Alligator mississippiensis: one gene and its partner. The main gene of each other region encodes a partner of the protein of the gene in region 2 in a complex. Links are inferred from orthologs where the notes say so. Each region holds a gene or a part of one and is shown on either strand. Other genes may lie near its edges.

The links.
Region 1: STRAP (region 2) and GEMIN2 share a complex: the UniProt entries of both Homo sapiens proteins name them as parts of the SMN-Sm complex. The link is inferred for Alligator mississippiensis from reciprocal best matches to the Homo sapiens genes STRAP and GEMIN2.

What each region holds. Positions count from the first base shown.
Region 1 is NC_081825.1:260,114,427-260,118,340, reverse strand, and holds the start of GEMIN2 (gem-associated protein 2), read right to left. Parts: upstream 2,770-3,914; 5' UTR 2,755-2,769; coding exon 2,504-2,754; intron 2,326-2,503; exon of another isoform or gene 2,273-2,325; coding exon of another isoform or gene 2,118-2,272; intron 801-2,117; coding exon 716-800; intron 1-715. UniProt on the Homo sapiens protein: The SMN complex catalyzes the assembly of small nuclear ribonucleoproteins (snRNPs), the building blocks of the spliceosome, and thereby plays an important role in the splicing of cellular pre-mRNAs.
Region 2 is NC_081827.1:120,443,104-120,447,017, reverse strand, and holds the start of STRAP (serine-threonine kinase receptor-associated protein), read right to left. Parts: upstream 2,292-3,914; 5' UTR 2,159-2,291; coding exon 2,047-2,158; intron 1,188-2,046; coding exon 1,052-1,187; intron 1-1,051. UniProt on the Homo sapiens protein: The SMN complex catalyzes the assembly of small nuclear ribonucleoproteins (snRNPs), the building blocks of the spliceosome, and thereby plays an important role in the splicing of cellular pre-mRNAs.

The DNA of each region.
Region 1 (3,914 bases), on a different chromosome or scaffold from region 2:
CCAGGCCAGTGTCTATGGAAACCCCACCTGCCCCAGCACCCCCAAATGATAGGTGCGGGGTAGATGGACCAGGATGCCCAGGCAGCAGGGCTGGATCCAGTGGCAGTGGCAACATTGGCAGTAGCAGCCAGAAAGAGCAGCCACCAACAAGGATGCCAGGAAACAGTCTGGCTGCCACGCTGCCCCAGCCCCACTGTGTGCCTGGGGACGATGGGACCATCCACACGCACCAAAGCCTAGGCTGCCACCTGCACCTCAGCCAGATGGGTCTGAGTGACCCGCCACGACCTGGATAAAATGCTTGGTGGACCAGATCCAGCCTATGGGTTGTATTCTGGCCACGCCTGGGCTGAAGTCTTAGCTTCTGTAGCTGCCTGCTCTCTGTCCTTGTATTCACTTCTAAGACAAGGGGATTCCCTCTATATGAAGTGGGGGGAACCCTCATATTAGAATGAAGAAAATATGGTATACATTAGAACAACTGAGTTTTACAGAGACTGTAGTTTTTCCACCAATTCAGAATTTGGACTGCAGGGCTGGAGATTCCATTTACTTGTCCAAATTCTTTTAAGATATAGGGACAGTATATTTTAAAATTTACTTGAGACTTCCAGGTATTTTAATACAAATATTTTTCTATCCTAGAATTCTCATTTCATTTATTTTAGTCTGTGTTTTCTATAAGTCTCTTAAGAACATATCTCTACAAACTTACTGAAATATTCACGGTCTGCTTCTTTCTCAGCTTTTTGGGGTCTATCTGTGCCACAACAACATCTGGGCATTGTGAAGCTTCAATCCTAAAAAGAAAAAAACGCCACACATTTGTAATCCCTCTCTGCTGCATTCCTTAGAATTACATAATTAGTTTGCAAATAGTTGTAATATTTGCATAGGGACCAGATCAAAATATGAGGCACTTGCACAATTAAGTTGTGTATGAGAATGTATTAAAAAATGAAAAGAAGAGAGAATGCTTCTAGGAGAGGGTATGCAGCAAGGTTTTAACAGAAACAAACAAACGGAATAGAAACAAATGCAGGCATCTTTTAAGCTTGCTATTTAGGCCACAGTAGGTATATACCCTCATTTTATAGAGAGAAAATGAGAGCAGAGGTTAATTTGTTTTAAATGAGCCAAGCTGTGGCAGTCAGCAGAATCCCAAATCCCCAACTCCAGGAGTTCTCTGCCTTAGCCACAGGACCACCTTTCCTTTGGAGGCAGCAGTGAAGGCTATTACCTATTGACATATACAGCTAGTAAGATTGCATTTTAATCCTTCTGATTAAAGTAAACTGGATAAAGACTCCAAATGCTCCCATGTTACTCAAGAGGAGGTTAGATGAGTATCTAGCTGGGGTTGTCTAGACCCAGCGCTCTTTCCTGCTTATGCAGGGGGTCTGACTCGATGATCTATTGAGGTCCCTTCTGACCCCAACATCTATGAATTCCAACATAATACTGTGGGGGTGGAAAACAGATCATGATGTGCAGCATGGGGTCAAAGAGTCCTAAGAGAAACTACCCTGATACACAGATGAACATGGCTGAGTCATGTTGGGGGGGGGGGGGGGGGAAGAGGGGCGGATTGTGTGTCGGAGTGTGCAAGCAAGTTTCTATTTAAGTTGGTGTTAACAAAAAATGTCAAGATCTTAAACAAGGAAAGAGCAGTTACATTCACTGGCACCAAACTCAGCAGTTATTGGCACTACAGTGGCACTTGGGGGCTCCAGAGGAGAGTGAGCAGGGTGAGATGGTGCTGCCCAGACATGCAGCCCAGAGCATCTCCCTCTCAGAAGATTTGCGGCAAAGACCCCAGTGGGTCCTACAGTATGCAGTGCACTAGCTCCTGCATCCCGCAGGGCACTGACACGAGGCTAGGCGGTGCAGCAGCACCGGGGCAAGGCAAAGGGCTCCCGGTGGTCAAGCCGGTGCTTCAGTCTCCCATGGGGTCCCTCCGAGCCAGCCCAGCTGCAGAGCTCGGGGGAGCTGCTTCCCGCGGAGGCGGGCGGCGCTAGAACGTGCAGTGGGACGGGCGGTCCCAGCCCCGGCCCCGTCTCCGTCCGCTCCGCTCGCCCCAGAGCGGGGGGCGGCTCCTGCTCCCCGCTCCCACTTACTGCACCCGCTTGAGATACTCCTGCGGCGTCCGCGGGGGCGCGGTGGGATCGAAGTCCTCGGCGAGCTCGCAGTCCCATACTGGCAGCAGCCGCGGCATCAACTCCTCCATCCCTGCCTCCATGCCCGCCAGGACGGGCGCGCTCAATGATGTCATCCACCCGCAACTCACCGAACAATAGCAAACACCACCCCTAGCCACCAGCGGCGGGCGCGCTCGGTGACGTCACTCAGTCGCGACTCGCAAAGTGAAGATAACGTATAGGTGTGTACGCCCCGCCCCGCCCCCTGGGCTCTGCCTCGAAGGTGGTGACGCCCCTTGGCGGGGGAAGGGGCGGTGCTTGGGGCTAGAGCTGCAGCGCCCGCCGCGGCCGTTCTGGGGACTTACTGGCGATCTCCCCCGGCCGGGCCGCGGGGGAGGTGCTGCTGCTTGTTGCCCACCACCGGCCCGCGCCTTCTGTCGTGCAGGGGGCTGTGGGCAGGGCAGCCTGGCGTGCCGGGGTCTTCCCGCAACGCGGCTGTCGCGCGAGCTCGGGGCCCTGCGCCCTGCAGCGCAGGAGCGCGGAGGGAGGGGAGCTCAGTCAGGGCTCTCCGGTCGGCCTCCCACGCGCTGCGTGGGCACACTGGCCCCAGAAACATGACACTATCTAGTCGCAGCGGGACTCTGCCTGGGAGGAGGATTACTAGAGGTGAACGATGGTGCAGTCAGCTCCTGAGTGATTTAAAAATACCACATATCTTTTATTAGGTCAACGTGAATGGAAACATTCTTCTTTACAAGCTTTCGAGTACAAATACCCTTTGTCAGGCAGAGGAAGTGTCTGCCTGAAGTGTACCTGAAAGCTTGCAAAGAAGAATTTTTCCAACTATTTGAGTTGCTCTAATAAAATACCACAGCACCTCATTAAACTTCCCAGTAGTTACACCAACTCATATGTGCTCATTTGAATGATAAAAGTCAGATGTTACTAGAAGAGCAGAACCTGCAGGGTTCTGGTGAAGTGGGATGGATTCTTTCCCTGCTAATCTGTTACCACTTGGTTCCATGTGAGGACTCACCTATAATTGCAGGGACCTCTCTGAAGTTAAAGAGGACTCTGTGCAGAGTTGTCCATTGGGGTCTGGAGTTACCCCATTTCACAGATTGGAAACTGCAGCACTGAGATGCTGTTGAGTGGAGTGGGGACTTGAAAGTAGGTCTCCCAGTCCTTAAGGTAGCTCCAAGTTACTGGACCACCTATCCTTTCTGACACTTTACCCCTGTTCTGTACAGATCTACCCAGTCAGTTTGCTACTAGGATGAATAGTAATGAATGACAGAAAGTCAGCTAAAATATTTACTAAAGAAATCATTCTTATTTCATCTTTTCATCATCTTTGGGGCTTCCATAATGAAAGTTGGATTGTGGTTGAGGATGGATAGGAGGAAGCTCTTAAATCATCATGGTCTCTACAATGCTCAATGCAGCTTCTTGAAATGGTAGCCTTTGTTCTAGACAAAGAAATATTAAACACCATTGTGCACAAGCAGTTGTGTGATATTAATCTATAACTACCAAATAATGAAATCTTCAACAAGCCACTGAGTCTTTAATAACAATTCTAGGGACCTGTGCATAAAGCTCAGCATTAGCAAGTGGTTCTTTCAGGTCTAGTACTTAAGAACAAAATCCTGCTCCATTTCAGTCAACAGAAGTTTTCCATAAGTAAATGTACTGTGTTCATAATTTGTCCCATTTGGGAGTTCCCTTTGGCTTCTGTAAAAGTAGACAGAGAGCGTGTCTGTCTACATGTGCATT
Region 2 (3,914 bases):
ACTACTAAGTGCATTGCAACTAAACTAACTATTCAGGTTGCAGCAAGATTTTCCTGAGAACATAATGTAGTGGTTATACATAACTACTACACTCTGGCAACACGTAAAGCCCAACAGTAGAAATGCTTAGTGTTTAAGAACAAATACATCAGAATTTCCAGGGGTGTAGGTTGTAGCCGTGTTGGTCTAAGGACATAGGCAGACAAGGAAGTGTACACACCAACTGCTGAAACTTCCTTATCCAGACAAAGGGTTTTTGAACCTGAAAGCTTGCTTAATAATTGTTTTCCAACTATTTAAGCTGGTCTAATAAAACATATCAAATTCACTCAAAGAACCTTGTCTGCCTTAGAATTTCCATTTCTTTAATTCCTTTGTACCACTCCAAAATAAACAGCCCTTCTCCCTTTAGTAGTAGGTTTGAAAAATGTCTGCCTAAAATTATGAATCACTTGTACATGATCTGCACTCACATTCTTATGAACTATTATACACATACTCTGAGTAGTCTGAACAAAGTTAAGAAAATTGTGTATACAAAAACATTAAGCATGCATGTAAATATTTAGCAAGTTTACAAGAAAATAATTTAACTTGAGAAAAATTAAGTGACAGTAGGTACCAGAAGAAGTCAAATGGGAAAAAAGTAGGTACCAGAAGAAGTCAAATGGGAAAAAAGTGAGAAATGGCAGTTAAAAGAACAAAAAACCCCCCATACTTCTAGAAGACTTTAGCATCCGATATAACTGCAACACAAAAGATTAGAGGCTATCTAAAATTGTTGTTGGTAGACAATTATGTTATTAGTCTATGTCCATAAAAGTAATCCGTTAAGCCATCTCTACAGTTTAACTACCATTACTGTATTACCACAAATATCAACAACCTCACTTTCTATAATTTTTAATACAAGTCTCTGTAAATCGGCCAGGTGTGTAAGAAAGGCAAATATATTTAATGCAGAAACTGCATTTTAAAAAAATTACAAAATTCTAGGATTGCAAACTGAAATCATAATACAGTCAAATTTTAGACATGGTTAATTACTTACGCAGTAAAATCTGCAGCTGCTGTAGCTGCTTTAGTGGCATCCTTGTTCAAAGTGGCACCCCATACGGCACCTTTATGACCCATAAATGTTCCAATCCAGTCTCCTGTGTCACCTTGGCGTAGCATAGGTTTGCCATCTTGGGAAAAAGAAAGATTAACAATCAGATAAAATACATGTACTTAACAATGACTAACAGATCTAAAGAACTCACCCACTACACTCAACTTACTGCTGCTCCTGCCTCTGCGGCACTGTCCCTCACTTCAGGGGCCTCAATCTAGCTCCCACCCCTTCCCTCCCCCATGGATTGACCTGCTGGGCTAGGGCACGCACATGCATGCACACAGGCACTCAGCCCCCCCCCCCCCCCCCCCGCCTCGGATTGGCTCCAAAAGCCTCCAAGATCAACCAGTGGATTGAGATCCACTGGTTGGTGACCACTGACATAGAGGGTCCTCTTAAGGAAGACAATTATTTGGTCAAGGCAATGGGTATGTGCAAAAGATAGTATCCTAAAAAGATACAGAAGAAAGATGTACCCAGGGAAAAATCAGGGACAAGAGGCCATTTGCTGCAATGAATGCACTGCAATCCCGGCAGTGGTGTCAAGCCACAGACACTTTATTCTGAAGGCAGGCACGGGTGGGGCAGGCACCTCTGCAGTCCTCCCATCAGATCCAAATCCAGAACAGAAACAGAACTTTCCTCACAAGCAGGACCTGGGCCTCTGGGGCCCAAGTGGAAAGCAGCCGCCCACGTCCTCCCATTGCCCTAACCAATGGGGCAGCTACGGCCTGGCCTTCCCTCCACCATGTTGACCCTGACCCCCTACCCATGCCTCGTACAGGACACGGGGAGAAGGAAGAAAGGAGAAAGGAGACACCACCCCCCCCCCCCCCCCGCCCCGCGGCCTGGTCGCGAGCGGGGAGGGAAGGACGAGACAAGCCGCGCCCCCCCAGGCCCGGAAGAACACCGCCCCCGCCTCCAGCCCTCACCTTTGCAGGCGCTGATGAGGAAGTAGCCGTAGGGGGTGATTCCGCTGAAGGCCAAGTCCACCACGGGCCGCGTGTGGCCCGAACACGTCAGTGGGGTCTGCCGCATCGCCATGGCGGCGGCGAGCGGGAGAGCGGGCGGCGGCGGGAAGGGGAGACCGCGCGCGCTCGCAAGGACAGGCCACGCGTCGTCAGCCCCCCACTGCCGGGCAGGAAACGGGGAGGTGGCGGAAGTGACAAAGAGGAAGTCGCCGCCGGCGGAAGTGCGTCTCTGTAGGGGAGACCGGAAAATGCGGACTCCCCAACCCCGCTCCACGTGACGACTCAACTTCCGTCACGTGACCGCTCCCTCCTACCCTACCCGCGTTTCCCTGCCCGAGACAAGGGCTCGATAGTGGGCGGGGCCTCGCGCACTAGCCCCTCCCCTGGGGCGGGGGCTGACGCGGCCGTAGTTGGACGCTGTTCGACTTGCAAACAGGGCTCCGAAGCTGCAGCCTGCAGGCCATGCTGTTCTGAAACCTGTGCCGCAGGCGGCCGCCCGCCCACCTCTGCTGCTTTTCTGTCAAAACGTGAAAATAAACCGACGATTCGTTGGGTAAATCTGGCCAACTAAAATGAAGAGACCACATTTACCCAGAGAGCCTTGTCTGCCTGTGTCCTTAGACTAGCGTGGCTACAACACACACCCCTGAACGCAACCTGGCATTTTCTGAGGGAGGGGCGCCATGAATCTAACCAGGCTGAGAAACAGGCGCCCTCCCTTCACGCTCTCTCTTTTTAGCCTGTGGTCCGCCGACCTCCCCCGGCAGACTGGGCACTTTTACCTAGATTTCATAGACATTAGGGCTGGAAGGAACCTTGCCGGATCATCGGGTCCAGCCCCCTGCCCCAGGGGCAGGAAGTCAGTTGGGGTCAGGTGACCCCTGTAAGATAGGCGTCCAGGCATTTCTCAAAGCTATCCGGAGTAGGTGCTTGCACCACTTCTGGTGGGCGTCTATTAGGGCTGTGCAAAACAGCACCTTTTTGTTTCAGTTTCGTTTCGCCTTTTCAAAGGGACAGTGTTTCATTTAGACGTTTCCTTTCAAGCGCGGTTCTGTTTCATTTTGTCAAAACTGTTTCACTGTTCAACGCTGACGCACTTCAACGTTTCGCCCGTCGGCTATAATGGGGACTCACAAAAAATTCCTATAAGTATCATTTTTCGCCTAATTTGAATGAAGACAGCACAGCACATAGCCCCTGCTGAGGCCACAAAGCATGTCAAGTTTCAAGGAGATAAGTGCAGGGGTTTGGGGGAAACTGCACCTCAAACTGTTCAGAGCAAAATTTGTGTCACTTGTAACTGAAGGGCGGGGGGTGAAAACCTCAGGGATGGTAGCCCCTTATGAGACCATGAAGCCTGCCAGGTTTCAAGGAGACAGGTGTAGGGGTTTCTGGGAAACTGCACCTCAGGCAAACTTGTGATGTGTCACTTGGTGTGTGTGTTAAGGTGCGCCCTCACTGGTGCTGGTGCTGGTGTCATCCTACATGACATGGTAGTGTGCCCCAATGAAGTCTCTTCCTCCCCTACAGCCTCATTTCGGTCCACCACTTTAAATAACAACAGGTAAGTAAGCAACACAGTAGCACTAGCATCTCAGGCAGCCAAACTGCGACAGAGCATTTCTTTCTTCTCCTGCAGGAGCTTCTTCTCCCGCAGATGCCAGAGCACTCTCCCTGCCAGCCCTAGCCCTGGGGCTTAGATGTGCCCAGGGCCCTGCCTCCTGGTCAGCTAACCAGGGACAGGTGCTAAGGGGGTTGGTCTAAAGACATGGCACTGGCAGACACGGTTCTTTGGGTCAATCTGGTATCTTTTAGTAGACCGACTGAAT